Linked DNA regions of Ovis aries. The protein of the gene in region 1 binds, or shares a complex with, the protein of each later gene. Links are inferred from orthologs where the notes say so. Each region holds a gene or a part of one and is shown in the gene's direction. Other genes may lie near its edges.

What was found.
Region 2: MEPCE (region 1) and LARP7 share a complex: the UniProt entries of both Homo sapiens proteins name them as parts of the 7SK RNP complex. The link is inferred for Ovis aries from reciprocal best matches to the Homo sapiens genes MEPCE and LARP7.

The regions. Positions count from the first base shown.
Region 1 is NC_056077.1:36,536,092-36,552,356, reverse strand, and holds MEPCE (7SK snRNA methylphosphate capping enzyme), read left to right. Parts: upstream 1-7,308; 5' UTR 7,309-7,897; coding exon 7,898-9,562; intron 9,563-10,755; coding exon 10,756-10,974; intron 10,975-11,144; coding exon 11,145-11,271; intron 11,272-11,389; coding exon 11,390-11,436; 3' UTR 11,437-11,982; downstream 11,983-16,265. Other genes in the region: PPP1R35 (protein phosphatase 1 regulatory subunit 35), read right to left, coding at 12,651-12,824, 12,914-13,050, 13,131-13,383, 13,465-13,707. UniProt on the Homo sapiens protein: S-adenosyl-L-methionine-dependent methyltransferase that adds a methylphosphate cap at the 5'-end of 7SK snRNA (7SK RNA), leading to stabilize it.
Region 2 is NC_056059.1:13,382,741-13,399,084, reverse strand, and holds the start of LARP7 (la-related protein 7), read left to right. Parts: upstream 1-8,201; 5' UTR 8,202-8,357; intron 8,358-14,158; 5' UTR 14,159-14,160; coding exon 14,161-14,359; intron 14,360-14,492; coding exon 14,493-14,593; intron 14,594-14,666; coding exon 14,667-14,750; intron 14,751-14,872; coding exon 14,873-15,037; intron 15,038-15,119; coding exon 15,120-15,213; intron 15,214-15,285; coding exon 15,286-15,636; intron 15,637-15,714; coding exon 15,715-15,859; intron 15,860-16,344. Other genes in the region: protein ZGRF1, read right to left, coding at 3,611-3,691, 4,944-5,012. UniProt on the Homo sapiens protein: RNA-binding protein that specifically binds distinct small nuclear RNA (snRNAs) and regulates their processing and function.

The DNA.
Region 1 (16,265 bases):
AGTCAGAGATATTAAGTAGCTGATAAATGGTAAAATCAGGATTAGAATCTGTCTGATCTATGTTTGCATCATGAACTGCGCTATAGTACATCCCAGGAGTCTAGTTCAGCAGTTCAGTGCTTCACACCCATTTTAACATCACAGCACACAGGTAAAGCATACACTAAAAGTAAACACTGAAACAGTGTTCTAGTACTCTGCTCACAGCTATAGACAACCGAGGAATGAGAGAGGGAGGCCTCCAGCCACACCAAAGGCTGAAGAGATTAATATCTCTAGCTGTATGTCATTTGTGACCCAGCACGGTGCCAAGACTCATCTTATGATGTTCCAAGAATTTATACATTTTCCAGTCTCACTTTCCACTACTGATATTATTTCTACCCAGCTGTGGTCTGCCAAAACCTCAGTGTTAATACATGGTAGAGTAAGATGAATCCAGGTCTCTGGCTTCTAAATTCTAATAACATATCTATTCTTCTCAGTGATCTGATTTCTGGCTGTTGATTTTGAGTACTTTGAAGGCCTTGGACCTGAAACTCAATCCTTTAACTCTGCTACCTCCCACTATAAAGAGATCCAAGAGGTTTCCCAGGTGGCACAGTGGTAAAGAATCTGCCTGCCAATGCAGGAGAAATCAGTTTAATCCCTTACCTGGGAAGATCCCACATGCCATGGAGCGATTAAGCCCAGGTGCCAGGACTATCGTGCCTGTGCTCCAGAGCACGGGCGCTACGGCCGCTGAGCCCACGCGCTGCAACTACTGCAGCCCCGGCACCTTGAGCCTGTGCTCTGCAACAAGAAAAGCCGCTACAATGAGAAGCCTGTGCACCACATCTAGAGAGTAGCCCCCGCTCATTACACTAGAGACAACAAAGACAAAGAAACAAAGAAAATGAATAAGTAGTAATAAAAAAGAGAGAGATCCAAAAGTTGCATAAAATGGATCTTTGGGTTCGTATATTTTTCTCTCTAAAGGGGCTGAAAATTTTATGACCCTCAAATGGCCAACGTAAACACTCAGTTGTTCAGGGTGTAGGATTCCACCCTCCAGATTCCAAGATGAATTCAAAAGTTACTGGGGACTTGACTTAGTGTGGCCACAGCATGGCTGAATATAATGTCTTTTTTAAATTTTTTGGTATTTTAAGAAAAATACTTAATTCCATAAACGCAAATAATTGATATGTGCTGGTTTGCAGTAATTCCTTTCCGTTTATACTCGTCTAGTGTGTATTAGTTGCTCAGTTGTGTCCCACTATTTGTGACCCCATGGACCATAGCCCGTCAGGCTCCTCTGTCCATGAAATTCTCTAGGCAAGAATCCTGGGGTGGGTTGCCATGCCCTCCTCCAGGGGATCTTCCCAACTCAGGGATCGAACCCGGGTCTCCTGCATTGCAGGCAGATTCTTTACCATCTGAGCCACCAGGAAAGCCCAATTTAAGAAGCACATTTTATCACGGTTTCCATTTTAATGTTTCACCACCAACTCCCAAACTTATTTGACAATGAAAGAAAAAGCAAGTAGGAAATTGGGGGAGAATCACTACAGCAAACTGGTCTCTTTCTTTATGATAACCCTAAATAGAAGGTACAAACTGTATAAAATTAGGCCACAAAGGGAATAATAATAATAATAAATGACAAACATATCTTCTCCCAGACTCTAAAATTCCAAAAATGACCATGAGAAGTCCCTATGAAGATAATCAGAATTACAAAACTGTACTGAACGAGGAAAGCAAAATGAATTTAGTGTACTTGAGATGACAAAATTTGATTTTTAAAAAATTTTCATCTATACAATATGTTTGAGTATCCTTTAACTATCTCTGGAAGAATACACAAGAAATTGACAAAAATGTCTCAGTGGAGAGGAAACAGGTAGCTGAGAGTGGAAACGAGCTCTCTACTGTAGCGTCTTGTGTAACTCTGGTATTTTATACATAGACTGCCATTTCAAAGTGACTTTTAAACTCTATTTTTAAAATAAAATTTTAAAAAGAGTATTTTGATCAACCTCAAGAGGCAAAATTTTTCCGAGTTAAGTTTAAATCATTATCTAAACCTATACTGACCTCTCTAGGCCAAAGTGTGTTACTGAAGCCCCAACCAACTAGATAAAATTGTGGATCACTGTTAAGTTAATAAGATGTAGTAAATGTATAGCAATGGCACCCCACTCCAGTACTCTTGGCTGGAAAATCCCATGGATGGAGGATCCTGGTAGGCTGCAGACCATGGGGTCGCTAAGAGTCGGACAGGACTGGGCGACTTCACTTTCATGCATTGGAGAAGGAAATGGCAACCCACTCCAGCATTCTTGCCTGGAGAATCCCAGGGTCAGGGTCGCACAGAGTCGGATACGACTGAAGTGACTTAGCAGCAGCAGCAGCAGCAGCAGCAGCAGCAGCAGCAGTAAATGTATAAGCTTCCCTTATGGCTCAAACAGTAAAGAATCTGCCTGCAATGCAGGAGAAAAAGGAGATGTGGGTTCGATCCCTGGATCAGGAAGATCCCTTGGAGAAGAAAATGGCAACCCATTCTAGTGTTCTTGCCCAGATAATTCCATAGACTGAGAAGCCTGCCAGGGTACAGTCCATAGGGTCCCAAAGAGTCAGACACGATTGAGCATGCATGCAGAGTGAGGGTGTGATGAAGAACATTACTTTTAAAGAAAATCTCTATTCTGATCAATAGAGAAGAGAAAGTTTGGAAGTCACTGTCTGACAAATTTCTGCTCCTCTGTTTCAGATGAAGTATTTTCTTCCACAGTAACGAATACTGAAATTCATTTCAGAGAGAGAAAGACAAATTTAAAGATAGTTAATAAATATACAAAATACCACCAACTTTTACCTGGTTAGCTACAAAATGACTGGGGGCTCTAAACCCAGGAATAACATTTGAGATTTTAGTTTCTCTTTTCTTACTTTAGATGAAAAATATTGGGAAAAAAATCCAATAAAGCTTCAAATTTAAATGTCAAAGTAAAAGAACTTCCATAACCAGATCCTAACTCCTCAACTGACATAAGAAAGAAAGGCAAATAAGGAGGGGGAAATGACTTAGAAGTAATAAAGGGACCCAAGGGAAGGTGAATGAGGTGTTCCAAAAGATACTTTTCTTTCATTTAGAACACCAAAAATCATCACACTGATTAGAAGATGAAATCACCTAGCTCAGCAGATCTCCAACTACTTATCTGTGTTAGATTTTCTCATATTCTTCAACCAAAACAAGATATCAAAACACACTGAATTCAGAAACAGATGAAAATCCAGCTGTTTTCTATTAAGCCAGACATGAGATTTGCAGAAATGTAAAATAACACCATTCTTCATATTAAATTTTCTTTCACTTAGGAAATTATATTTTCATTTAAGTGTTATCTACACTAACATTATGCAAATGGTTTACTATCATCATTTTTAAATTAATAAATTGATTAATTTTTCTCAGTTTAATTTCTAATACTTAAGTATCAATGCACAGGTAAAGAGATATAAACCAATCTTTGGAGTCCTTCAAAAATTTTAAGAGTATAAAAGGATTCTCAGAGGACTTCTCTAGAGGTCCAGTGGGTAAGAATCTGCTTGCCAATGCAGAGGACACAGGATTGATCCCTGGTCAGGGAAGATCCCTGACCTGCATGCATGCTGTGGGACAGCTAAGCCCATACACCACAGCTACTGAGCACATGCTCTAGAGGCCAAGAGCTACAACTACTGAAGCCCATGTGCCCTAGAGCCCACGTTCTGCAACACAAAGCCACCGCAAAGAGAAGCACATGCACGGCAACCGGAGAGCAGTTCCTGCTGCCCCAACTAGAGAAAGCCCACGTGCAGAAACCAAGACCCCGTGCAGGCAAACAACAACCACCAAAAAAACCTTTTAAAACATAACTTAAATAAAAAGGATTCCAGTGCTTTCCTGGTGGCTCAATGGTAAAGAATCTGCCCACCAATGCAGGAGACTAAGGTTCAATCCTTGATCCTGGAAGATCCCAAATGCTGAAGACCAACTAAGCATTTGCACCACAACTATGGAGCCTCTGCTCCACAACAAGAGAAGCCATCACGGTGAGAAGCCCACACACAACTAGAGAGTAGCCCCTGCTCACCACTACTAGCGAAAAGCCTGAGCAGCAATGGAGATCCAGAACAGACACAAATAAATAAGTAAATTTAATTTAAAAATAAAGGGATTCCCAGACCAAAATGTTTGAGAGCTGACTTAGCTAAGTAACTTACTTCAGTCTTGTCAGTATTTTTCAAAAAGCCTTAATCCTCCTCCTTCCACTCGGAATGTGTTCACAAATTTCTCCCAAGGATCCAGTTACTCCCTCTTTATATTGTCCCTGGAATCCTTGGTCTAAGAGAACAAAAATAAGCCCTTTAGAATTGCCCTCTAACACAGACTCTGTGAGCCTCAAAAAATTGTATTTAAAAACTATATTTTGAGAAGGAAAAAAGATCAAATTTCTATTCTCACTGAGCTGACATTCTAGTGGGAGTAGTTAGGCAATGATCAAAACAAGTAAATATATATATTGTAAAATAAATAAAGATTATATTTTCAGAGGAAGCACTTTTCTCAGGGTTACCTAAGATGCTGCCTCCCAGGCTTGAGTTCCTCAGAATGTCCACCAAATAAAATATAACTCTCCAAAAAACAATAAATAAATAAGATAAAGACTATATTTTAACTCTCCTTTAAGCTGGAGTTTGATTTCTTTTTGTCTTAATGTCTAATGGTACGTAGATTTCTTCTCATTTTCATGCCTCCATCAATAAGTTTGTTCTTTCCACCTTCCTTCTCTCATGTGCGCTCAGCAAGCATGATTCTAAACTTTTAACAAGACAGAAGGAAAAAAACTGATCCCAGCTACCCTTATTACCCATACTAGGCTGCCTAACAAGACATTTGGGGCTTCCCTGGTGGCTCAGTGGTAAAGAACCCACCTGCCAATGCAGGTGAGGTGAGTTGATCCCAGGGTCGGGAAGATCCCCTGGAAATGGAAATGGCAACCCACTCCAGTATCCTTGCCGGGGAAATCCTGGCAGACTACAGTTCATGGGGTTGCAAAAGAGTCTGACACGACTTATCAATGAAACAAGACATTTACTGTCGTAACTACTTTAAGTAAAACCTTTTACGGAATCTTCAAATTAATGGTGACTAAAGCTTTAAGTTCAGAGAGTGCAAGGAAGCAGAGAGACATGGTCAATTATCACCAAGACAGACTCTTTAGTACCCTGATCTTGGTTCAGACCCTTTCTATCTAACCGCTGAAAAGCTTCCACAGGTGCCCGGAATAATGCCAACCTCAAACTAGCCATTCTGTGTTGCTTTCCAAGGGGCCATGCCCATGAACTCCCAGACCACTGCACCATTTCCCCTCACAGAGTGCTCAGATTTGGAACAATAAAAGGCCTAATCTCACTTTTCAAACCAGAGGGAAGAACTTGGAGACACCCACATTTTTCCTCTTTCCTCACCAATTCTCTCTTAAAAGCACAGCAATTCAGACCGGAGGTACCACAGAGCCAGAAGTCCATGACTCCTCTAAGGGTAAAACAGTGGCTCTCTAACCTCTCCTCACCATCAAGAAACACCCTCCATGAGACAATTTCCCCTCAGCTCCCCCTCCCCATTCCCACCCTCAACACGAGGAGACACCAGGATCCTCATTCTCGCTCAGCTCGACATCGCGCACCGTAATACTGACTTAGTTCTGGTTTTCTCTTTGGAGCAAGTCTGCGGCTAGAGATTCTGAGGAGAGGGATAAGAGCTAGCCATCACCCTGAGGAGAAAACTTTTCCTCAGGCGACAGGTGCCAAGACTGGCCAAGCCTAGAACCTTCAGGTGCAAGCGGAAAAACACCAACTACCTTCTGGTGCGTAGAGGCTCTAAGGGTGAGGAGCAGACAGAGTTACTGCAGCGACTCCACCAGCCGCGCGAACCTCCAACCAGTTTTCCCGCCAACAAGGATAGGCGCGAGGCCACTCGCAAGCTCCACCTCCTCCGGCGGCGTGCTCGCAGGGCTAATGCGCATGCGCAATTGGAGGCCGTTTCTGCCTTTGCGCAGCAGTCATCGCCGCCATCTTCCAACCGAATACCCTATAAAACTACAAATCCCATAATCCCCGTTGGCCTCGCTTTTTTTTTTTTAGGTGGCAGCCGTAGCGCCTGATGTTTCAAGACGCACATCTTCCTTTTACTGACTTCTTTCTCTGCCCCAGACTGCCTTTTCCGTCCTCTTTTCGTGCCCTCATTCGCATTCTTCTTAGTATCCTTCATCCCCTTATTTTGTTATTTTATTTGAGATCTATCCTTAACCCCATTCTCGCCTCTTCCACCCTTTTCTCAGCCACAGGACCCGCACCCCAAGCGCTGTTGGCAAGGAAATCAAGCCACCAAACAAACACCCAGTGGAAAGGCTGTCCAGTAGCTTCCTCCCCATAGGCTAAGGCAGGGAGCCCCCAAAGCGGACCGAAATCTCTTCCTCGCCCACATTCGTTTTTATATAAGGCGGCTCGGAGCCGCAGCGTGTGCTCGGGAAAGCCTGTGTACGGAGTGGGGGGCGGGGGGGGCGGCGGTGCTGGGTGTACTGCTATTGGCAGCTGTAGTGGGCGTCGGATAGCTTGTCTCCGGGCTGGGGGGGCTCGTGCGCTGGCGTCGGGTGGTGGGCGGAGGCATTGGTGCGGGAGGTGGGTGTGGAGGCGGAGAGGGCGTGGTGTCCCCAGGTGATCGCGATCGGGGAGCGAGAGAACGACTCGGCTGTTTAGGGGGAAGAGGAAGTTAAGACAACATCGCCTGTTTTAGTGCTTTTTTTTTCTTTTTCCAGTTCAGCAGAGACTGTTTTCCAGGGGGGGATGAGTTAAAATGATCTATCGTGTTATACTGAGAACAGTTCGTAGGAAGACGGTCAGTATGCTCCGCTCCTTCCCCTCCTCTCCTTTTTAGGTGCACCCCTCCGCTCCCTCGGAAGCCTTTCTAAATAGGTGGGCACCGGGGCGGGGGGGGGGGGGGGCAACTGGGTCATGAATAATTCATACGGACCGCCCCGCCCATTAGCCACGGCCCTCCGAATCGTGCTGACGCATGTTGCGTGTTCCAAACCCTAGGAAGTAACGTAACAGTCCCCGCCCCTAGCACGGAGGGCGGGGCGTCATCTCCAGCACGTGCTGCATCTACCCGCGCAAGCCCAAAAGGGTGTGCGCAGGCGCTGCTCGCTAGGGGGAGGAAGGAGGCGGGGTGGGGAGGTTGCTGGGTTTAGAGCCGGGCGGAGACCGCTGAGACTCATTCCTCAGGAACAAGGGTCGGGTGTCAAGGAGACCTTTTCACACCAGCTCCCCGTCCCCCGCCTACGGTGGGTGGGATCGCGCGGCAGAGACAAAAGGATATCAGTAGGGACGGACATAGCTGCGAAGGGAAGTAGGGTGTCAGTTTGGGGTGGTGGGCTTCTGCGGGTGGGGGGCGGGCTGAGAAGGGCTGTATTTAAACTCCCGGAGCCGTTAAGTTGGTTCGTACTCCGATGCGCGCGCAATCAGGGTGGTGGCGGAGTGCGCATGCGTGATTCCAGGGAGAGAGGAACGCGCCCCAGCCGTGCGCGCTCGCGCCGGAGCGGTAGTGGTAGAGGAGAAAGGGGTCGGCGCACGCGCGGTTGAGTCCTCGAGTTGTTCGGGTCTCGCGGGCATCTTGTTTTGGTCTCGCGGGCGAGTGGGGCGAGCTTTCCGGGGAGGTGCTTGGGCGCGAGACCAGGGGAGACGAGCAGCACTGCGCGCGCACTCGGGGAAGGAGGCGGGGGGAAGGGAGCGTGGTCTAGGAAGGGGGGTTAAGCCCCCGGTGCCCCCCTGGTTGCCCTCGACTGGAACGGAATAAGGGGAGGAAATGATCGAGATGGCGGCGGAGAAGGAGCCGTTTCTGGTGCCGGCCCCACCGCCGCCGCTCAAAGATGAGTCGGGCGGAGGGGGCGGCCCCACGGTGCAACCGCACCGAGAGGCCGCCTCCGGGGAGCTCCGCGGCGGGACGCAGCGTGCGCCGGGCCCGCGCGCTCACTCGGCGGGATCCCCGGCCTCTATGGCCGGCAAGGAGAGCCCCGGGGCTGCATCCACCCCTCGAGGCGGTCAGTCGCAGCAGCAGCAACGAGGGGGCGGCCCCCAGGCGCAGTCACTCGGGGAGGCCTGCTTGTCGGATCCGCACGGGCGAGCCGCTCCCCCGGACGTGGGGGAGGAGCGACGGGGAGGAGGCGGAACAGAACTGGGCCCCCCTGCTCCTCCTCGACCCCGGAATGGCTATCAGCCCCACCGGCCCCCAGGGGGAGGTGGGGGCAAGAGGAGAAATAGCTGTCATGTAGGGGGAGGTGGTGGAGGCTTCAAACATCCGGCCTTCAAGAGACGCAGGCGGGTTAATTCGGACTGTGACTCTGTCTTACCCTCCAACTTCCTCCTCGGGGGCAATATCTTTGATCCCCTGAACCTGAATAGTCTCCTGGATGAGGAAGTGAGCCGTGCACTCAATGCGGAGACCCCTAAGTCATCCCCGCTTCCGGCCAAGGGGCGAGATCCAGTGGAGATCCTCATCCCCAAAGATATTACAGACCCTCTCAGTCTCAATACTTGCACTGATGAGGCCCAAGTTGTCCTTGCTTCGCCACTCAAGACTGGTCGGAAACGGCATAGACACCGGGGACAGCACCACCACCAGCAGCAGCAGGCAACGGGAGGGAATGATAGCCACTCCGCGCTGCCCACAGCCCCCCTCACTTCCTCACTCCACGGGGAGGGCACCACGCAGCAGCATGGGGGCCAGAACCGGGACGCCCCCCAACCCTATGAACTCAACACAGCCATCAACTGCAGGGATGAGGTCGTGTCTCCCCTTCCATCTGCCCTCCAGGGTCCCTCAGGCTCCCTTTCAGCCCCTCCAGCTGCCTCAGTTACCTCTGCACCCCCGTCTTCCTCCTCACGACATCGCAAACGACGCAGGACTTCCAGCAAGTCAGAGGCAGGAGCTCGGGGTGGAGGCCAGGGTTCCAAGGAAAAGGGCAGAGGGACTGGGGGAGGGCGCCACCACCTCCAGCCACTACCTGCCGCAACCTTCAAAAAGCAACAGTGCAAGTTCCAGTATGGGAATTATTGCAAGTACTATGGGTACCGCAATCCTTCCTGTGAGGATGGGCGCCTTCGGGTATTGAAGCCTGAGTGGTTTCGGGGTCGGGACGTCCTCGATCTGGGCTGCAATGTGGGCCACCTGACCCTGAGCATTGCCTGTAAGTGGGGCCCATCCCGCATGGTGGGCCTGGATATCGATGCCCAGCTCATCCACTCAGCCCGCCAGAACATCCGACACTACCTGTCTGAAGAACTGCGTCTGCCACCCCAGACTTCTGAGGGGAGCCCAGGAGCAGAGAGTGAGGAAGGGACCTCAGCCATCCGAAAAAGGAGCTACTTCCCAGCCTCGCTGACAGCCAGCCGTGGTCCCATCGCTGCACCCCAAGTGCCCTTGGATGGAGCCGACACAGCGGTCTTCCCCAACAACGTTGTCTTCGTCACGGTAAGAGGGTCCCCAGGCTCCTGGGAATAGGGGTCAGGCATGAAGATGAGAGTGAATGAGAACATGGCAGGGAGGGTTATGACCCAGAGGGTTCCTGTGCATGCACCCCTCCCTGGAGAAGCCAGGTGCTCAAGAGAATGGTCTGAATCTGCAATTGATTCCATTTTGGTGTATCTGCCCTCCTATAACCTGGAAAGGCAGGGGCTGTACCTGGAGTCCTTACTCATGACGAGCCCCAGGATAGGGGCAGGTTCCTTTTGCTCTGCTCCTGGGCAGTATTGTAATCTAGACCCATCCACTTTCCTTTGGGGGCTGCTGCTCATAATCACTGGGGGATGTGGTCCAGATGAAAACTTGTCCTCCGGCCTTCTGTAGGTGCCTGAAGGGATGGGTGTCCAACATTCAATGTCTTGGGATGGGGCGGAGGATTAGGGTAGTGGCTGGCTAATTATGTTCTGTCCGTTGATAGGGACCTCATTTGTGTCACACACAGAGTTGATTGTCAGTGGCCAGGAACCCAAGCGACTTCGCCTTAGATCATCACCACACTGACCCTAGATGGTGGGATGGGAAACCGTGCAGGAGAGTACCAAGTCTTAAGTATCTGTCCCCTGACTGCACATCAGTCCCCATAAAATGCTTCAGTTAGTCCACCTACAGGAAGAGTTGGCAGTGTGGGTTACACCCAGAAGAATGGACTTTGCAGAGGAGTGGTAATGAGCTAATCATCTAGAAGGTTTCCTGAGAGATGGAGGTCTTCATTTCTCTGGAAAAAATGAATAGGCCTGAAACTTTGACAGTTCCTCCTAGGGAAGGAACCCACAGGTCTCCCTTTCAACCTGAGTTGGGCCCCTTTGCAGAACATTGAATCTCTCAGCTTAAATGCCTGTGGGGATAAGTACTGGACAGGATCCTCGGAGAACCCCAGCATTCTTTCTCTGCAATTTGAACTTAGCTTTGACTGCCTTGTGGATAATTTGCTCAATTTAAGATTACTCAAGCTCCCTCTATGTTTGATTGGCTTACCACCAATACAGAGCAAGAAAATGAGACTCAAAGAGGGCACCATTTGGGAGTTGTTTTGAGGAGTGTCAGAAGCCTGGCCAAGGACTCAAGTGGGGCTGCACAGTGGGTTGAGAAGGGGCGGTGGTTCTTTTTCATCTCTCATCCTCACCCCCAATTCTCGCCCTCAGGGTAACTATGTGCTGGATCGAGACGAGCTGGTGGAGGCCCAGAAACCCGAGTATGATGTGGTGCTCTGCCTCAGCCTCACCAAGTGGGTGCATCTCAACTGGGGAGACGAGGGACTGAAGCGCATGTTTCGCCGGATTTATCGGCACCTACGTCCTGGGGGCATCCTAGTCCTGGAGCCCCAGCCTTGGTCTTCCTACGGCCGGAGAAAGACTCTCACAGTGAGTGCGGGTTTCTGTGGAAACTGGGGCAGTCCTTCCTTTAGCTGAGGCAAGGAAGGCCTCAAGGAAGCAGAGACTTTCTGATGAAGGTGAAAAGGGCCCCCAAGTGGGCCTACCTTCACTAGCCAAGAAGGCAGTAAGCTGAAGTGGTCCCTTACCTTTCTCCCTAGGAAAGAATCTACAAGAACTACTTTCGAATTCAGCTGAAGCCAGAGCAGTTCAGTTCCTACCTGACATCCCCAGAGGTGGGCTTCTCCAGCTATGAGCTCGTGGCCACACCCAACAACACCTCCAGAGGTAAGGCTGCCTTCTTTTATCTGGGGAGGAAGGGAGGCCAGTGCCGAAGCAAGGTGCAGACCGGTGTTGGGGTCTGTAGGCCCCGTCAGCCCCTACTGAGTGCACACTCTTCCCTCAGGTTTCCAGCGTCCTGTGTACCTGTTCCACAAGGCCCCCAGCCACTAAGTGGCCCCCTGAACAGAAAGTGTGAAGAAGCTGCCTGCTGCTCCAAAGGATCTAGGGGGAGAGGAAAGTATCTCAAGGTCTTTTCCTTTCTGGCTCCAAAAATAGTTTGCTCTCCTGGATCTGCAGAGAAAGCTTTTCCTGTGTTGCTGCCCTGGCCTCTTCCCTACACCTCTGGCACCTAAGCAGCAAGCCCAGCTGTGCTGGAACCATCATCTTCCTCTCCCCCAGCCCACTGGGCTGGATGGCATGGACTGTTTGCTGCCCTCTAATTTCCTAGGGCATGGGAGTTGGGGGGTATCAAGTTCTCTGGCCTCTTCCTCCTGTTCTCCCAAGGAGAGAGACTCTTTTCTCCTCGGCCCTTGTCCTGAGCTGCGTTTCAACAGACCACGGATAGATGGGCTGAAGATTAAGAGGGGGATGTTGGTGGGGAGGCATGCAGGTACTGTGAAAATCCTTCCCTCTGCTGTCCCCCACTGGGAGAGGTGGTTGGGTTCCGAATGTGAGAACAGCACAATAAACTTGATGTTTAGGGCAGCGGCCCCCACACCTGTGTTTGGCACACTGTAGTTTGAGGGGGCATAGATGGTGGCTCCTGGTAGAACCTGGGCTTCCGCTCTGCCCAAACTGTAGTCTTACGGAAGAGAACACTTTTTTCAGTGGTTGGGAAGATTGTTGAATGCCAGTGAACCCTCTCTACACTTGTGCTCGGTTGTGTCCCACTCTTTGCTACCCTCCAGACTGTAGCCTACCAGGCTCCTCTGTGCTTGAGATTTTTCAGGCAAGGCGACTGGAGTGGGTTGCCATTTACACTTAACTGTAGAGAGAACCCTAAGCCAGGAAAAGGGAGTATAATGTGAATTTTGAAGAACCCATCTACCTTCCCCCAAAAAAACCCACTGACAAAATTTGTTTTGTGGAAGCTTTGGGAACAGGCTGACTTTGGAAGAGTTAACCATGGAGTTGAAGTGGAACCAGAGGAAGGCAGTTCTAGGACCAGAGTCGGACACGACTTAGCAAGAACCTGCCTGCTCTGCTTCTCATCACTACCAAGTTTCTTTAAAAGGAGGCCAAAACGACTTTCTGACCGCTTCCAACCTGAGTCTTGACCGCATGTTAAGGCTCCCAAAAAGAGTCCCATTTATTAGCAAAACCACTTTATTCTGATAGTTTCAACACCAAAAAATACAAACTAGCAATCCAGGGAGCCCCCAGGTCTACGCTTCCCATCGCCTCAGTGTCCGATGCATAAGGAAGGTATCTTCTGAAGGGCGGGGCCGGAGTTGAAGCCGGAGTGGGGGCAGACCTTCCAGGGTCAGGTGTGGAGATTCATAAAATAATGTTTCCGGATCACACAATATGGTCATGTCTGGCCCTGGGCCAGGTGGCTCCTGTTGGAGCACAAACAAGGGGAGCTGAATCTCTGGCATTTGGGGGCCGGGAGGGGGGAGCGGTAGCGGAGACAGCCCAGGTGCCTCACCTTTGGAGGTGGGGCTCGGGCCTGCGGCGGCAGGAGAGCCAGTTTCTCCCTCAGCGCGGCGTTCAGAACCTGTTCCTCCGGCACCTGCAGACTCACCAGATCTCGGAAGAGCCGCCTGGAGCGCGGCACGTTCAGCCCTGAGACCGCAGGAGGGGCGGAGGTGAGCGGCGCCGCGCACCCCCGCTCCCGCGCCCGGCCGGCCGCCTGCCCCCCTCACCCTCGGTCACGCTCTCCTCCAGGCCGCAGCGGGTCTGGAACGACTTTCTCAGCTGTTCTTCCACGGCCTTCGCGGCATCGAACTGGCCCCCGGCTGCGGCCCTTGCGGCCTGCAGCTCAAGGCTCAGGGCCAGGCTACTCTGCTGCACCGGCGCCCCCAAGTCCTGCGGCGCCTCAGGCTTCTCGCTCGATGAGGCGGCGGCCGCCGGCGGCTCAGACCGGACTGGGGAAGGCGGCGCCAGGAGGAAGCGGACCTGGGAGCAGAGAACGGGGCGGTGAAGGGGTGAGCCGGGGGCTCGTCAGCGAGCTGGCGGCCAAGTTTTCCCCGAGCTCACCTGCCGCCCCTTGCGGGCCCCGCCCCGCCGGTCCGCCCGCCCCTTCCGCCGTCCAGGGCTGCAGTTGGGCCTTCCGCGTCCGGGACTCTCGGACCGCGGGCTCAGGCTCAGGCTCAGGTCCAGGCCGGGCTCCGGCACCGGGGCTCCGGGCTCGGGAGCGCGGGGTTCTGGGGGTGGGTCTGGGACCGCCACGGCCTCTCCCCCTCCCACCGACTCCAGCTGTGACTCGTCGTAGACCATCATCTTCCGGCGTCTGTAGGGGTGCGGAGTAAGGGTCACGGAACCGCCACCTCTTCTCCCCCGCCCTCTCAGACGCCGCTACCGGAAACCGTCAGCCCTTACCCAAGGGGGAGGGGAGACCAACTCCTGACCCGCCCTATTGGTGCGCCTAAGCGTCATTTCCGTTGCCTCCTCCCTCGGCTCCCAACGGGCTTCCGCCTGCACCACCTCGCCCCGCCCCCCAGGCCAGGGATTTAGAGCGCAAACCTGCGGAAGCCCTACGGGTCCTCATTAGGGCCCTTTCCATTTCGAAACGAGTTACAGACTCCTCGCCCTGTCCAGTCGTCACCACCTGGCTTCTGCTGGAATCCGGACTGTGTCAGTCCTCCCTGCCAGGGCACTAAGTGGAACACCTATAATTAACGGCCCAGCGCCCTTGCACTGGACCTCCCTACTCCGTGCCTCCACGGCATCTCCGGGTGTTCCATCGCCTCCCTACTCTGACCAGACCCAGTGTGAGTGAGGGCGTGGCTCGCTGACTCCAGCCAGGGTCCTTCCTAGGTGGTGGCCTGGGTGAATGGCTCTTTGTGACTTTTTCCTCTTCGAAGGTCCGCTAAAATATTCATCTATAAATTGAAAGAGACAGTATACTCCAATGTTCATCGCACCACTGTTTACAATAGCCAGGACATGGAAGCAACCTAGATGTCCATCGGTAGACAAATAGATAAGCAAGCTGTGGTACATACACACAATGGAATATTACTCAGCTATTTAAAAGAATGCATTTGAATCAGTTCTAATGAGGTGGATGAAACTGGAGCCTATTATACAGAGCGAAGTAAGTCAGAAAGAAAAACACCAGTACAGTATATTAATGCATATATGTGGAATTTAGAAAGATGATAACGATGATCCTATATGCAAGACAGCGAAAGAGACACAGATATAAAGAATAAACTTTTGGACTCTGTGGGAGAAGACGAGGGTGGGACGATTTGAAAGAATAGCATTGAAACATGTATATTACCATATGTGAAACAGATTGTCAGTCCAGGTTCAATGCATGAGATAGGGCGCTTAGGGCTGGTGCACTGAGATGACCCTGAGGGATGGGGAGGGAGGTGGGAGGGGGGGTTCAGGATGGGGAACACATGTACACCCAGGATTCATGTCACTGTATGGTGAAAACCACTACAATATTGTAATTAGCCTCCAATTAAATAATTTAAAAAATATTCATCTACATAAAAAATAAAGATCTATGTTGAGTACCATTTAAAAAAAAAAAAGGCTCAGGGATTTACCCTGGACTCCTGGACTGCAGGGCAGAAGATGGGAGTTCTCACCTCTTTCCCTCATGTTCCTTGAGGTAGACTCTCTCTGTTCTCTGAGCCTGTTTCTTCTTGGGTAAAAGTAGTCTGCGTTCAAGACTTTTGAGGCTCTCCCAAGATGGGTTAGCAGTCAACAGAAATGTTTGTGTACCATTTTTTTATTTGTTTTCCTATTCATTATCTTCCCAAGAAATGCTGTGGAAGATCAGATAGAATGGATAGTTACCCATATTTTACAAACGTTTTCAAGGATCTCAATGGGGAAACTAGAGGATTTCCAGCTAAAGTCAGGAATAAGAAAGTATGCCCATTCCTCCTACTGCAGATCTTCCTCCACTTATGAGGGGGTTATTTTGAGATATAAATATGTCAAAAATGCATATATTACACCTAACCTACTGACCATCATAGCTTAGCCTAGCCTAAATGTGCTCAGAACACTGGCAGAATGAATTTCTGTTGTTGCAGGTCACCAAGTTGGTGGCAATTTGTTACTGCAGCCCCGGAAAACTAATAACAGCTGAAGAAAAGTTCTGGGCTGCACCTCAGGCTCAGACCACTATCTCCCAGGATCTCATCCACACCTTACAGCATCTCCACTCCTAGGGGGCTAGGATTGGAGGCTCTATGGTGGGAAAGATTTGGCCATGAAGGACCATCCTTCTTTTGAGGGCTTCTCCAGGCCCCAGACCATTGCCAAGGGAAACCAGGGCCAAGGCAGGAGGAGAAAGCCTGGGTGGTGGGAGACAGGAGGAGCGCTGGAGGCACTGGGGAGGGAGGCCTGGTGCTGGGATCACAGAGGGATAATCACTGTGGGTCCCTCTGTGGGGAGAAGGAGGCAGGAGCCATGACAGTACAGATGGAGAGGCGGCCCTGGGGAGGCGTGCTGTGTGCGGAGGTCGACAGGGAAGGCTGTGTCTAGCCATGCCCCCCCAGAGGCCCCCAAGATCTTCAGGTTCTGAGTATGACCACCTAGCTGGTCACCAATCATGCTCAACAAGTGTCATGACATGCAACCCAGAAGGGTACTCAAGAAACAGAGGCTTTAGCACGTAGGTTTCCTAAAACCTAAGCTGCTAGAGAGCCCTGGGAATCAGGACCCAGCCCCCTCCCCACAGGTTATTCCACCCCCACCCCCCACCCACACTCGCAATGCCAGTCCTTCAACCTGAGAAAACCCCTCAATGCCCAGTACATTTCCTGCTGGCACCCCAGACTGAAGAAACACTGTTTACTTTGGCAACAGAG
Region 2 (16,344 bases), on another chromosome or scaffold:
GACTCTTTGCGAACCCATGGACTGCACCAAGCCAGGCCTCCCTGTCCCTCACCATCTCTCGAAGTTTGCCAAGTTCATGTCCATTGCATCAGTGATGCCATCCAGCCATCTCATCCTCTGACACCCTCTTCTCCTTCTGCTTTCAATCTTCCCAGCATCAGGGACTCTTCCAATGAGTCAACTGTTTGCATCAGGTAACCAAAATACTGGAGCTTTAGCATAAGCCCTTCCAACGAGTATTCAGGGTTGATTTCCCTAACTGATTTGACCTCCTTGCTGTCCAGGGTACTTTCAGGAGTCTTCTCCAGCACCTCAGTTCGAAAGCATCAATTCTTTGGTGCTCTGTCTTTACGGTCCAGCTCTCACAACCGTACAATTTTATGTGGCCACTGGGAAGACCACAGCCTTGACTATAAGGACTTTTGTCAGCAGAGTAATGTCTCTGCTTTTCCACGTTGTCTAGGTTTGTCATAGCTTTCCTGCCGAAAGGCAATCATCTTCTGATTTCATGGCTGCAGTCACCATCTGCAGTGATTTTGAAGCCCAAGAAGAGAAAACCTGTCACTATTTCCACCTTTTCCCCTTCTATTTGCCATGCGGTAATGAGGCTGGATGCCATGATCTTAGTTTTTTTAATAGTTTTAAGCCAAGTCTTTCACTCTCCTCCTTCGCCCTCATCAAGAGGCTCTTTAGTTCCTCTTCGCTTTCTGCCATTAGAACGGTATCATCCACATATCTGAGGTTGTTGCTGTTTCTCCCGCCTGCCTTAATTCCAGCCTGTAACTCCTCCAGCCCGGCATTTCTCATGATGTGCTCAGCGTGTAGATTAAATAAACAGGGTAACAGCAGACAGCCCTGTCGTACTCCTTCCTCAATCTTGAATCAATCAGTTGTCCCATACTGGGTTCTAACTGTTGCTTCTTGACCTGCAAACAGGTTTCTCAGGAGACAGGTAAGACGGTCTGTATTCCCATCTCTTTAAGAGCTTTCCACAGTTTGTTATGATCCATACAGTCAAAGGCTTTAGCCTAATCGATGAAACAGTTTCAAAATGAAAACCCAGAATTTTCATTGTTCCCTCTAAATGTGCTTTTCTTTTTCAGAGATCCTATCTTACTCAGCACCATAAGCATAATACACAAACCTAAAAGTCCCTCTGGATTCTCCTCTCCTTCATATCCAAGACCTTCAGATTCTGTATTTTCAGTTTCTCTCTATTACCATTTCTCTCCATTGTCAATGCTAACGCCTGCATGGGCAGAGCCCCATTATGTTTTGTCTATATTATTCTACAACCTCTTTGTTATAAGTCTTTCTAAATCCAATCTTTCAACCTACGTCACTTAAAAGGTATATTAGACATAGCTGCCAAAGGGATCTTTCTAAAAACAGAAACAATTACATCATTCTTCTGCTCCTAAATCTTCACTGGCACCTCAGACTGAGCACACAAAGTCCTTTATAATACGCCTCCTGCCCACGTCTTTAGCTGTATCTTCTACAGTTTTCCAACATGGACCCTTATTCCAGCCACAGTCAATTGTTTCTAGTTCCCAGGAGTGTTTCACACTGTGCTACACCTCCACATTGTTACAGCCTCAACACCATCCTGGCTTCCTTCCCTCAATCCTATCAACTTTGTTTACAAAATGAAACAAATACTCAAAAGAATACTCTTCATCCAGAAAGATTTCTTTGAACCAGAGTCAAATTTTAACATCTCTCATTTATAATCTCATAAAACCTTAAGCGTATCTCTGTACATACTTTAATTATTAGGCTCTTAGATAAAAATTAGATAAAAGTCCCTTGAAGACAAAATCTATAACAGTAGTTACTATTCACTGCATGTTTTAAATGTGCCTGGTACCTCCTTAAGAGGTTTGTTTTCTTACAAGTAGTCTTTCTATATTAAAAAGTGTCTTTTACTGATAATTTCAGAGTGATAGAAATGTATTAAAGGAGGGAATATGGAGATCTTTAACAGCTGGCTTCATTCAGGAGGATACAATCTTGCCAACGTGTCCAATGTTATCAACTCATCTGTAATAAAGTTCTTCTTTTAAATTTGGTAATATTAAGAGAAACAATAGAACCCACATCTCCGGCATTGGCAGGCGGATTCTTTGCCACTGAGCCACCTGGGAAGTACAAAATACACAATAGATATAGGTTCAAACCCTGGGTCGAGAAGATCCCCTGGAGAAGGAAATGGCAACCCACTCCAGTATTCTTGCCTGGAAAATCCCATAGACAGAGGAGCCTGGAAGGCTACAGTCCATGGGATCACAAAAAGACACAACTCAGCAACTAAAAAACAACAATTGTTTATTGTTCAGAGTAAATCTTAAAAGTCCTCATCACAAGGAAAAGAAAAAGAATTTTTCTAACTATGGATGGTGATGGATGGGAAATAGACTTACTGTGATCATTCTGCAATGTATACACATATCAAATCATCAAGTTGTATGCTTGAAACCATAATAATGACATGTCAGAAATATACCTCAATAAAATAAATGACTACAGTAGACTGCTGTCCCTCATCCCTTCAGTGGAAGGCCTACAGAGAACAAAAAGGCCAAGTAAGAGAAAACCCTTGCCTGTCTCTGAACTGAGACATCCGTTTTTTCCTAACTTATAACTCAAACTGAAATAATGGCTATTCTTGGGTGTCAGGCCTGTTGGCATAAACACTAAAACCACATTATTAGTTCTCATGGGTCTCCAGCTTGCCAACTACAAATGTTGCAACTTGTCAGCCTCCACAATCACACTACACAATTCCTTCCAATAAATCTACCTTTCCTCCATAGAGAAAGAGATAATTTATGTATCTTTATATATCTCTACAAAAGCATGAAGGCCTGAGTCCTGAGTAAAAATTTTAATCATGAAAAGACAATTAGCCAGCAGAAAATACTTAGAAGTGGACAGTAAGCAACATTAGGGGAGTGTGGTGTCACAGAAGTCAAATGAAGAAGAGGTCATATGATGAATGAGGAGACAAGGGTATTAAATAAGGTCATGAGAACGGATAAGAGTAGAACATTTAAATTTGACAGATGAAGATAATGATAATCAGGGTGGGAAAAGAAACCCATAGAAGGATAACTATATGTAGTAGGGTCAAAGATTTATCCTAGTAAATAGTTCTCTCAAAACTTGATAGGATATCAGAAAATAATGAAGAAAATCAAAAACAGAAGAAAAGAATCCTACACATAATTTCAGAAATTGGCAGCTTTTCTAAAATATGTCACTCTATAGGTACCATTACACTGTGAGCATTATTGTGTTATAAATATATTTTATAGTAGTTTTTTGGTATAGTTAAACTCTTACTACTGCAATGAAAAAAAAAAGCCAAAATTCCTAAAAAGTTTCATATAAAATCTGATTTTTTTAAAAATCAAAGGAAATTAAATAGTATTAACTGACTTTTATAATTCACAAATTAATCACTGTGATATAGGAATAATTTGACAACTTCTGTTTTCACATCATATCAGCTTACGGATATATCTAAGGTTTTATCTACAGACTCTTCTTAATATTAAATCAAAAGAACCCAACTTTTAGACTCCTTAGTCCACTGTTTTGCACTTACTTTGTTTCCTAAGTGAGTGATCTTCAGAATTCCATCTTGCCACACTTTTGACTTCTTCATCTTTTGATGAGTATATAGTACCTTATTTCCAAAAGCATAAAGGAAAGAAATGGTTTCTACTTATACGTATTAAATGTTATATGTATTTTTATACCCTTCCTTTATACAAAAAATATGTAAGACATCACAAGGATCTTTTGTTTATTAAAATTAAAGCACAGATATCATAACAATGAAACATCAATTTAAAAGAAAAGGAAGAGGAGACGGAAATGGCAACCCACTCCAGTATTCTTGCCTGGGAAATCCCACCGACAGAGGAGCCTGGTGGGCTGCAGTCTGTGGGGTCTCAAAGAGTCGGACGTGACTGAGCGTGCGCACGTGTATGCATATATGATGTATGGATCCAACTTAGAGCCTTCTAGATGGCTACCTAGTCGTTGCCATACAGTTTATTAAATCATGTGTCTCCTCTAAACTCCCACTTTTATAATATTCCAATTCCAATGTGTATTTGGATACATTTGAAAGAAATTAAAGTTTTTCTTGATATTTAAAAAAAAAAAAGAAAAGGAAGAAAGAAACCTGGTCATTAAAGACAATGGAGGTGAGAAAGAAGAGGTGAGAGTATAAAGGCCCCTGACACCAAACAGGTTAAGAACCATTAATCTAGACAGAATAGACGTGCCAGTCTTTCGAGAGAAAGAAATTATGCCCTGGTTCCAAGCTTCTGAACAATTTGTTCCAAAGAACTTTGCATAACCAATGTGACTGGAGAAGGAAATGGCAATCCATTCCAGCACTATTGCCCGGAAAATCCCATGGACAGAGGAGCCTGGTAGGCTACAGTCCATCGGGTCACCAAGAATCGGACACGACCAATGTGAACTCTAGGGTTGCCAGACAGAATACAGGGCAATATTTCAGAGATGCATACTCACACTAAAAAATTATTCACTGTTTATCTGAAATTCAAGTTTAACAGAGTGTCCTATTTTAGGTTTGGGTTTTTGTTTTTCGTTTTTCTTTGGTTGCACTAGGTCTTAGTTGCAGCATGTGGGGTCTTCTGTCCTCACTGTGGCATGCAGAATCCTTCACTGTGGCATGTGAGCTTTTCACTGCAACACGTGGGATCTGTTTCCCTGACTAGGGATCGAACCTGGACTCCTTGCTTTGGGAGCAAGGAGTCTTAGCCATTGGATCACCAGGAAAGTCCCAGGTTTGGGGTTTTTAAAAAATTTATTTTAGGTTTTTTAGCTAAATCTGGCAAATCATTTGTGAAACATGAAAGGAAGGAAGGAAAAAGGAAACAGTGAAAACAAATAAGACTTACAATAAATTCTTGGCTTTCCATTACTTCTTCTGAAATTAGGTTCAGGTGCAGAAAATAATCAGTAGTCATTCAACTATTTATAGCACCTAAAATGAAAAAAGACAAATATTCAACCCTGATGAACAGAATAAGTATCAACTACAATTTTTCCCCACCAACTCTTGACCAGAGAGGGGTATTTAAGTGTTGAGACTATGTAATCACCAAGGGAAACACACATGTAGGGAATTCCCTGGCAGTCCAGTGGTTTGCACTCTGTGCTTTCACTGCAAAGGGCTGGCATCAATCACTGGTCAGGGAACAAAGATTCCACAAGCTTCCAGGGTAAGCCAAAAGAAAAAAAACCAACCCACAGATGAGTAGGCTGCAGACATTTTTCCAGGTGCCATAATATATATCAGAAAATGGATTCTCTCCCCGCCCCAGAAGCTTGGTTTCTCTAAGAGCTTCAATTTTAAAATTCTCTGAATTGCTACGATCACCACAAGATGGCCCCCTTGCATTTCAAATTTTTCCTTTTACCTTTTCAAAGTCAATGTAACATAGTATCTAAAACCAAATATACATTATAATACACTCTCCAAGGAAAAACTTTTTCAATATAATTGCAATGAGTACTATATTTATCCCATGCTATTGGATAAAACTATTATTGTGGGCAAATCTGGAAATCTAATATCACTGACAATGAACTGAAGTAAACAGAGATGCCGAAGAAAAGTATTATTATTTTTAACCACTGCCTTAGATCCCTGGGCCAATAGCATTAGCAACACCTGGGAGCTAGTTAGAAATTCAAATTCTTGAGTCTTGAGCTATTAAATCATAAAGGCTGGCATTGGGGTCCAGTACCTGTAATTTAAAACGCACTGCAGGTGCAGTGATACACACTCAAGTTTGAAACCTACAGGTATTCAATAAAGCAATAATTTGCAATTCTGGATTAAATTCATCCTTTATATGTATAAAATGTACAAAAAATAGACCACCTACATGTTATTTATAAATAACATATATTTAGTACTTACTGTGTGCTATGTATTGTGTGTACATAGCGCTAGGCCAAGATACTAAAATGAACAAACTACTACTCCTAGTCTCAAGGAATTTCAGTATAGCAGGGTAATAAACAGTAATTACAAAAAATATGGAAGGAAAAGCACTGGAGGGACACCCAACTCAGTCTAGGGCATCAAACAAGGTTTCCTGAAAGACATAATGCATATACTGTGAACCGAAATAATCATTAACCAAGGAAAAATCCCAAGGAGGGTATTTCCAAATAAGAATAACACGTACAAAAAAGCTGTGGAAGGCATAATCAAGGAACTCTAGTTTATAATCAAGTGTAAGATAGTGAGTTGTGAGAGATAAGTCTGAAAAAGTGAGCAATAACAGGATGCGAAGGGCATTCTATTTTATGCTAAGTTGTTCGGACTTTTTAAAAAGACAGTAGGAGGCCAAGGCAGAATTTCAAGAATACGTTAACATAATCTGACTTGGGTTTTACCAAGATTGCTCTGGCTGCTAAATGGAGAAAGGGCAGGGCAAACGGTACACAAATGAGAAATGAATGCTTGTCCCATGATATAGTTCACAGCACAGGGCCAGACCTACAGAGGCACTGCCTTTCAGAAATATAACTCCATATCCTAATCCCTCCCCTCCAGCTAACAGGATTGACAGATGCCTAGTGAATGCCAAGAAGATAACAGAGGTCCAAAGAAACACATAGTTGACTGCTGGTTGAACAGCAACTTGCTTCTAGCCACTGAATGGGTTAGACATCAAATATATGTAGATAAGACTACATAGTGTCAACACAATGCTTGGCATGTAGCAGTTAACATTAGATCCCTTTAATAACAGTTATTATTTATTCAGTGTAAATTATATGCTAGAACACTGTTAAAATGCTTTAAATTTTACACCTTATAGTACAGATACTACTTTTTATATTCATTTTACAAAAACAGGAAGTGAGGTACATCAGTATGTAATTTGCCTAAGCTCATGAAGTAAATAAATGGCAGATTCAGAATTTAAAACTAAGTAGTCTAAATTCTGGTGTTCCCATTCACAAAAACTACATTATGTGACTATGGAAAACCTACTGTAACAGGCAAGAATGGGACTGGATTCTTTACATATAATATTTATCAGTCTCATAGTCCTAAAAGTTGTTATTACCATCACAATTTACAGGTTAGAAATCCAGTATTTACTTCTTTAGGATTACTTATATGCTGTTTACCAACTGCAAAATAAATTCCCCCATTGTTTTCCTAAATTAGAAATATTACTTGAGGGATTTGCGATGTAAAAGGTATTGAGACGGTCCTAACTCTTGTTAAGTGGTAGATTAAAGAATTACACTTCAAAAAAAAGGGAGAGATTAAATGTTTTGCGATAATTTAGTACAGAAATACATACATATCTTCACACACATTATTGTGCTGTTTTTTAGATTTATGTATAAAATTCGGTGTTATCACTAAAATATGACCTGTTCTTGCTAAGTACGATGAGATGTTTTTGGTCCTTTTCTTTTGGAACAAGCAGGATCTTTCGAATCCCTAAGTGGTTCACAGATTTAAAAATTTAAGAATCACGAGCCCAATAGCCTTTTAAGAAACGGTCCAGTCCAGACAACCAAAAGATGCTCACATTTCATTTGCCAACGTTCTAATTATCACTAGCTTGTGTAACCAGATGACAATGAAGAAGGGACCCTTTGTCAGTCCTAAAAATAAACAGCAAAACCATCCCGGGTTCTCACACGGATACCGGAACTGCCCAGCAGGAGTTGGGGGAAGGTGGTAAAGACGAAGCACTAATTATTTACAGGTTGCTGCGCCAAGCCGTGAACCAACCTTATCTCCACACAGTTTCGTTACCGAACCCCGTCTGGCGGAGCAAACTCCTTCGCCCGTCGCATCAAAATCAGTGACAGCACCTCGAGCTCAAAACTCCAGCCTATCTACCCTCAATCCCCAGAAACTCCCGAGTGGAAACAGCTCTTTTAACTTGCTCATTGCACAAAACCCACTTTCGAACTTCTCCCGCGAAAAGCCGTGACATCATCAACTCGCGACCGCACCAGATCCAACCCCACTATTTAGCCCGCCCACCACGGCTCCGGACCTGAATGGCCGTTTTCAAACTGCCAATCAAGTTCCTCTTTGGCTGCTAGCCTCTGTGGCGACTGCGTTCTCCGATGTCCCGCCCCCACGCTGAGCGGGCCTACGCCAGTGACGTAAATGTCGGTCGCACAACCTCTGGGCCCATCTTTTCCAAGGCGTTCGGAAGAATTGTCGCTCATGTGACGCTAAAATAACCACGACTATAAGGTTCGGGGGACGCGAAGGACTGAAGAACGCAGTCTCTGGCGCTGTATTTTGGGAATTGGACAGAGTAAGTTCTAAGTGGACTCTAGGGAAGCCCAGGTTGGGTGAGATCTAAATTACTCTCAGTCTTTTTCTATGCCGGTCCTTTCTGTCATCTCTGGTCCTTCTCATCCCGCCCCCTCCCACCAACCCATCAGTTAGATTGCCCTAGTGTCCTGGTTCTCTGTGCGCACGCGCAAGAGTCCTCCGGCAGCCCTTGCAGTTCCAGTTTTCTAGTGATTGGGGGCGCTTGCCGCCCGGTTTTGGGAGGTTTGGGGTAGTCCCGCGTCTGACGGCTTCCTTGAGGAAGGACGGGTACCTAAAGGGGCAGTAGTCAAAAGGGGAATTGCTTTTCTTCGCAGATTCGAGTTTTGGTGGCCAAACGATAGCGAATGTGGACTTGTATTTTTAAATTAAGTCATTTCCTTTTTCAGAACTTTTGTCTCTGTCATTCAGAGAGCTGAACATCCAGTTATGGAAGGAAGAAAAAATACAGTGTATTATTGAGTGCGTTAATAGACATACTTAAAAGGGAAACAGATGAGGCGGTTGTTTAGGGGAAATGTGCTAGCAGAAAGCTAGAAAGAGTAAGATGCCGTTTAACCTGGGCCTTGAAAATTGAATAGGACTTGATAAGACAAGGAAGACAAGAAGCTTTTAAAGCAGAGGCACAGAGACAAGAAAGTAGGCAACGCTGGATAGTCAGATGTGACTAGAACTATAGTTCTCTTAACCTTTTTGACACACCATTTCCTTTTAAAACGTGATTTAAAAGATATGGATGAGCCTCCCAGGAAAATACATATACATCTCTAAATATTTTCTATAACCTTTTAAAGAAAAATTGTGAAAGACGTTGAAATAGCCAAAAAAAAAGAGGTGTCTAGCTTACTTTTCCAGCTTACCTCTGCTTTTCATTGTCATTGAGCTATGTTACAATTATGTAAGTTATAATTGAAATAAGTCTTAAGAGTTATTGCCCTGATTAGTGTTACATCTGTTAACAAGTTCATTTCAATATTTTTGCTTGCTTGTATTTGCGCTTGTCTAGTTTTTGAGTTCACCTTTGAACTGGTTTTTAGCACTTAACTAGTTCCCTGGTTAATTACTTAAATAAAATGATTGACGAGTTCATTTTATAAACGTAGAAAAGTCATGGTTTCACCTTTAAAATTTACCTTTGAAAATTTCGTGGGATTTACAATAATTTTTGAAATCCATCCCAAATTCCATGGATTTCAGGTTAAGAATTTCTGAGCCAGGAGAGATGGACTTGTGGACACAGCCGGGGTGGGGAGGGAGAGAGTGAATGAATGGAGAAGGTAGCATCAACAGATACACACTACCGTGTGTAAAATGGATAGCTGGTGAGAAGTTGCTGTATGACACAGGGAGCCCAGTCTGGTGCTCTGTGATGACCTAGAGGAGTGGGATGGAGAAAGGGGAGGGAGGCTCAAGAGTGAGGGTATATATGTATATTTATGACTGATGGTGGCGCTACTGTTAAAAAAATCTTGCCTCCCATTGCAGGCGATGTAAGATGCAATGTTAGATCCCTGAGTCAGGAAGATCCCCTGGAGGAGGGCATGGCAACCCACTCCAGTATTCTTGCCTGGAGAATTCCTTGGACAGAGAGGAGCCTGGATGGCTGCAGTCCATGGGATCACAAAGACTCAGACACTGCTGAAGCGACTTAGCACGAACACACAGATGGCTGATTCGCGTTGTTGTACAGCAGAAACCAACACAACATTGTAAAAAAAAAAAAAATTTAACAATTTAAAAAAAGGATTTCTGAGTCAAAACGTAGACTACATGGTAAGAGGTTGCAAGAGGTTCTACTAAAACTTAGGCAGTGTGAAAGTTAAACATACCTGAGCTTACTTACCTAGCTAGCTTTAGCCAGGTCACTTAACCTTTGAGCCTTTGTAAAAAGTTAAGAGAAATAACCTAGAGGGATTATGAGGATTTAAAACAAGGTGTGTAAAGTAACTGGTGTTACACAGTAACTTTTATTCTTTGTTTAAACCCTATGAAACTAGTTGATTCATTTAACAATTTTTTAAAAATATATGCTGTGTTACCAAAAGATGCTAAAGAATTATTATTGTTGAAAGTTTTAGCATTAGAGTCACAAAATTAGACCTGTGTTTAGACAAGTTACACAGCTTCTGTGAAGGATGGAGGACTTCTCAAACAATTTATAAACAATTTCCGTATTATTATAACAGTAGTTGTGGAAAACACTGGATGAAGATAAGAGCCATTCCAAAGGTTACATTGATAGGGATTAATGACAGATTGGTAAATGATAAAATGATAATAAATAACAGTTAGATATTGTTGACTGTGTGCTGTATAGCAGCAATGGAAAGTGCTTTATCCATTTTGGTTAATTTTTAAAACAACCCTAGTATGTCAGTATAAATTTTATTCCACTTTGTAGATCGTAGAAAGTTGAGTTAACTTGCCCCAAATCCATACAGCTAGTAAATAGCTCGACTGGTTAACTAAGTAGAATATGTCATCCTTAAAGAAAATGAGGGTGGTGAGAACAGCAGAACAGACATTGCTAAGAAAGATAAGAACTTTGATTTGGAATGTATGGAATGACAGTATACCTATTTGTTATCATAGGACATTGAAAAAGTAAACTATGACTATCATGTAACTTCCTGATCTTCTGCAACCAATGTGTAGCAAAGAGAACTTGTACCATAGCTTAATTCCTGTTTAATCTAATCCATATCTGTACTCGAAAATGAAGGTATATTTGATTCTCCACAGATTTTTAAGATTGAAAGTTGCAGAGTGTTATTCACATGGGGCAAGATTTTCTGAACTTAATTCTCCAGGCCGCAAAATATATATATATATATATTTATATATGGGAAAGGAAGGAGAGTATCAGGGCTGAGAAGAGAATGCTGGGAAAAGTCTGATTTCTGGGAGATTTGTGGCTTTCTGTGTTTATGCAGTTTTGTCCACTATCTCCTTAGATGGTGGCTTTGACGATGAAAACAAATGGAGAAGTAGTGTGTGTGTGAAGTCGCTCAGTGTTGTCCAACTCTTTGCAACCCCATGGACTGTAGCTTATCAGGGTCCTCCCTCCATGGGATTCTCCAGGCAAGAGTGCTGGAGTGGGTTGCCATTTCCTTCTCCAGGGGATCTTGCCGACCCAGGGATCGAACCCGGGTCTCCTGCATTCCAGGCAGATGCTTTAACCTCTGAGCCACCAGGAGAAGTGGTAATCTGCCCTTTATAGATTTTTCAGATGAAAGAGTTAGTAGTGAATTCTGTAGTGACGATCATAGCCTACATTTGTATTTTGTTTATAATTCTACCCCCTTACAAAATAACTTGAAATGCTCAATACTTGACAATTTATTAGATGCTGTTAGTTATATTACTTAACTAGACAATAAATGCCAAGGTTGTGATCAAGCTGAAGTCTCTGCCTTCTTAGTGTTTATATTATAATGAAGCAGGCAATAAAATTATAATTCCAGGCAGGAATAAGAGCATATAAGTATAGAAAGTGGTGAGTGAGGGAGGGTAGGGTTATGGTTGGCAGGGAAGGGATATTTTAGATTTGGTGAAAGAGAAAGCCTCTTTGAGAAAGTGACATTTGCAGAGGCCTGGGTGAACAAGGAAGTAATCCCTGCAGATGTGACAGGAAACCTGGGAAACAGCAGGAGCAAAAGCCGTGGAATGGGAATGCATTAGACTGTTCAAGGAACAGAACGATGGTGTGTTGAGGTTGTAATGAGCACCCTGAAAGAAGTTGCAAGTGACGAAGTTAGAGCGAAATCCCCAGGCCAGATGTAATAGGACCTATAGGCCACAATAAGGATTTTTTATTTTATTCTGACTGGGATAAGAAACCTTTGGAGGATTTTGTTCAAGAAATTGACATTTTATTTATATATTTAAATGATCACTCTGACTGCTATCTGGAGAATTGACAATGGAAGAGGAGTAGAAGCAAGTAAATGTGAGGATGTGTTTGAACTGCAGGCAAGGTACCCGTGATAGCTTGGAGCAGGTGGTTGTGATGGAAGAAATGAGGAGTCATACGAATTTTGAAAAGCTAGAGCTAACAGAAATGCTAATGAATTGGCTGTGGGGTGTGAGGAAGAAATTAAGGATTTCAGTGTTTGTGCCCTCTCAGCAGTTTTCACTGGTATTTTCCGAGACGGGAAAAACTAGGAAAAAAACGTGGTTTGCTAAAATTTGAGAGTTCAATTTAAGCTTGAGATATGCTTCAGATGAATAAGTGAAGAGGTCAGGTGGGTATTTGCGTGTTGGAATGGGGAGGTAATGGGGTAAGTCGGGAGTGGACAGGTTTGTGAAACATCAGCATAGAGAGCCATGGAGCTTAACGCCAGAGGCCCTCTGGAACGACATGTGTGTAGATAAGGGAGCCCAGGACTGACTGCATTCAGTCCTGGGCATCATGGAAAGGCAGAGCAGAGTCAGAGGGTCCAGAAAAGGAAATGGAGAAGACAACTCATGGAAGCCAAATGAGGAAAATGTTTTGTGAGGGAGTTAGCAACTGCAAATGCTCCTGAGAGGCCTGGTAGATAGTGGGGATCCTAGTTTTCAGTTTCATTAGAATGATGGAAAGGAAAGCCTGACAGGATGGGTTGAAGTGAGAGTGGGAGATGAGAAATAAATGGTTATGTAGCACCTGATTGTTTTTCTAATGATTAATTTTGGCATGTACTTCCATTTTATGAGTTAGGCTAGCATCATCTAAATAATTACCTGTTTTAGAAATTAGTAGTTACCTGATCAACAGAAGCCTGTTTTAAAAATGCCAAAATACTCTTCCTTTGATGAGAATGCACATTTAGTTGGAGGTTTGAAGTGAAATGCATTCATGGCTTGGTACCCTCCTCCTGAATGTCACTTTGAAACAAAATCTGTTTCTATCTGCAGCATCCCTGCTGCACTTTCAGATTATAGCTGACAGTCAGACTCAGGAGACACAAATAGACTTTTATCTAATAACTGTTTACTGAGCTTTAAAGGATATAAGACAGAAGATAGAGTAGGGGCAGAATCTTCATCTCATCTGGAGACCTAGTCCCAGTCTTCCCAAAATACAGCAATTAACCCACATTCACGGCTTACCCCCCTGCCCTTATCTAAGACTAGTACGGTGTTTTCATCACCTTGATGCCCAAAAGCCCACCAATCTATTCTATCATGCTGGTCACAGCCTCAAGGCCTGCATGCATACCAACTAATAGCATCTCCCACCCCAGTGTGCCAGAGAAGACAGATGAAACTTGCCATTTGTCTTAGTATCACCCCAGGCCCCCTGTTAATTCTTTGCTTACTCATTTTTGTGTGTATTTAAGTTTAGTGTATCAGCTAAGATGACACCATTCAACAGATTTTTGTATTACTATATACCAGGAAATGGGAATGTACCAGGGAGCAAAATAAAGAAATAATTCTTTAGGATAATAAATTAGTAAGGTTTTAAGTACAGTAGAGAAGACAGGGAGATAGTTGTCTGTCCAGAACTTTGCAGTCTTGTCAGCAAGTAAAGAACATTTTTAAAAATAAAGTGTTTTTCTCTCATTGGAGGTTGTGAAATGAACATGTCAGTATATCATTCTATACTAGAATGTATGAAAAAATGCTGTTAACATAAGAGATAAATTTTATAAGAAACAGGCAAAATCAATGTTTCCGCAGCTAATAGTGAAAATGTTTCCCTGGTAGAGATATTTGAGCCCATTTCCCTTCAGATAAAGGATAAATTATTTTTTGGTCACTAATTATACTTAATATTTACCTTTTCTTCCTATTTGACAGAAATGGAAACTGAAAGTGGAAATAAAGAAAAGGCAATGGAAGAAAGCATAGAAAAGAAAAAAGAAGTGGAGAAAAAGAAACGGTCTAGAGTTAAACAGGTGCTTGCAGATATTGTGAAGCAAGTGGACTTCTGGTTTGGAGATGCAAATCTCCACAAGGATAGATTTCTTCGAGAGCAGATAGAAAAATCTAGAGATGGATGTAAGTTTCCTTCAGTGTATTATACCAGTTTTAAGAGCTGTATCTATTTCTAATCCATATATGCTGCATATAATGTACAATGTACACAGTTGAAAATGTTTTTGAATCTTTTTTAAACTTATGTTTTCATTAGATGTTGATATATCACTTCTTGTGTCATTCAACAAAATGAAAAAATTGACCACAGATGGAAAGTTAATAGCCAGAGCACTAAAAAGTTCTGCTGTTGTAGAGGTAAGAATCGTTACATATATTACGTGTCACATGATACTGTTAATTAGTATTGACTTTATGTACTGTTTTAAAGCTGGATTTAGAAGGCACCAGAATCAGGAGGAAAAAGCCACTGGGTGAAAGACCAAAGGATGAGGATGAGCGGACTGTGTATGTGGTAAGCCATTTTTCAGGAAAAGCTCGGAACTGTTGTCTCAACAGAAACATTGTAGTATTCAATTTAAATAAAGCTTTATTTTCAGTTGTTTTTAACACTTTATTATTACTAATTTATCATAGGAACTACTTCCCAAAAATGTTAACCACAGCTGGATTGAGAGAGTATTTGGGAAATGTGGCAATGTTGTTTATATAAGTATACCACATTATAAGTCTACTGGGGACCCAAAGGGATTTGCCTTCGTGGAATTTGAAACAAAAGAACAAGCTGCAAAAGCTATTGAGGTAGGTCCACAACCTAAAAGAAAGAGAAAGAAAATTACTAAGTGTTTTAAACAGTAACAGAATTTTGCATATTTCATTTCAGTTTCTTAATAACCCACCAGAGGAAGCACCAAGAAAACCTGGTGTATTTCCCAAGACAGTGAAAAACAAGCCCATTCCAGCTCTCACAGTAACTGGTGAGTTATTACTAAAGACTTTATTAAACATACATGAAGTAAAAATAAGTAATTAAAATAACATTGTTACAGAAGAAAAGAAAAAGAAAAAGAAGAAGAAAGGCCGAACAAAGAAAGACGACAATATCCAGACCAAGGAGTCAAATATGGACGCGAGCAACGAAAGTGTCTGTAAGAAAAGATCAAGGACCACATCTGAGAGCTCTGAAGTAGAGGTTACTGAACCCCAAAAGCAACCCACAAAGAAAAAGAAAAAACGAGAAAAAACTGAAGGATCCAGCTTACCTTTAGTCAAAGCAGGGAAGAGGAAAAGAAGCAGCTCTGAAGATGCAGACTGCCTCACTCCCAAAGCGAAGGTTAAGAAAGTGTCTCAGAAAGACAGCGTTAAAAAAGAAGCTCCAGAAGTTTGTAAAGAAAGCAAAGGTATTTCTGACTTTATGTTTAGGATTAGATAAGGAGAGTTTTCTTGTTAACTCATGTCTTTATTTCTTGTTAATTTAGAATTAGAAGTCTCTACGGAAGAGGAAAAGGATACTGGAGATATAAAGGACGGATCCCTACTGAAAGCAAAAAGAAAGCATAAGAAAAAACATAAAGAGAGGCATAAAATGGGAGAAGAGGTTATTCCATTACGAGTACTATCAAAGTAAGTCACCAGTACAAATTATATTGTTGGCAAATGACACACTCCATCACCATTGCTAAAGTGCAATTCCAATTTGAATTGAACAGAGTTGCATATTAGCAACAGTAATGGCCTGAAGCCATGATCTGCACAGAAGTTGCGAAATGTTGAGGTTTAAAAAGGAACCACCGCACTAAAACATGGAAGCACTTATTTTTTCTTGAAGTCACAGCAAGTGCCTCCATGTTAAAGTAGAGGGTATTCCTTAATAGATTTAAAGGTCCATCTTGAATATACCAAAGACCAGCAGTGTAAGTAAGTACTCCTTGCATTTTCTTGAAGATAAAATGAAAAAAGAAGACTTACCATCACTAAAACATGGAAGCACTTACTTTTTTAGCTACAAAGCAAGTACATCCACGTTTAAGTGGTGGGGAGCCCAGTCTTGGGAAAAATAAAAACGTGAATCTTAACCTGTAAAGTACATTTATAAAATAATCTGGGAA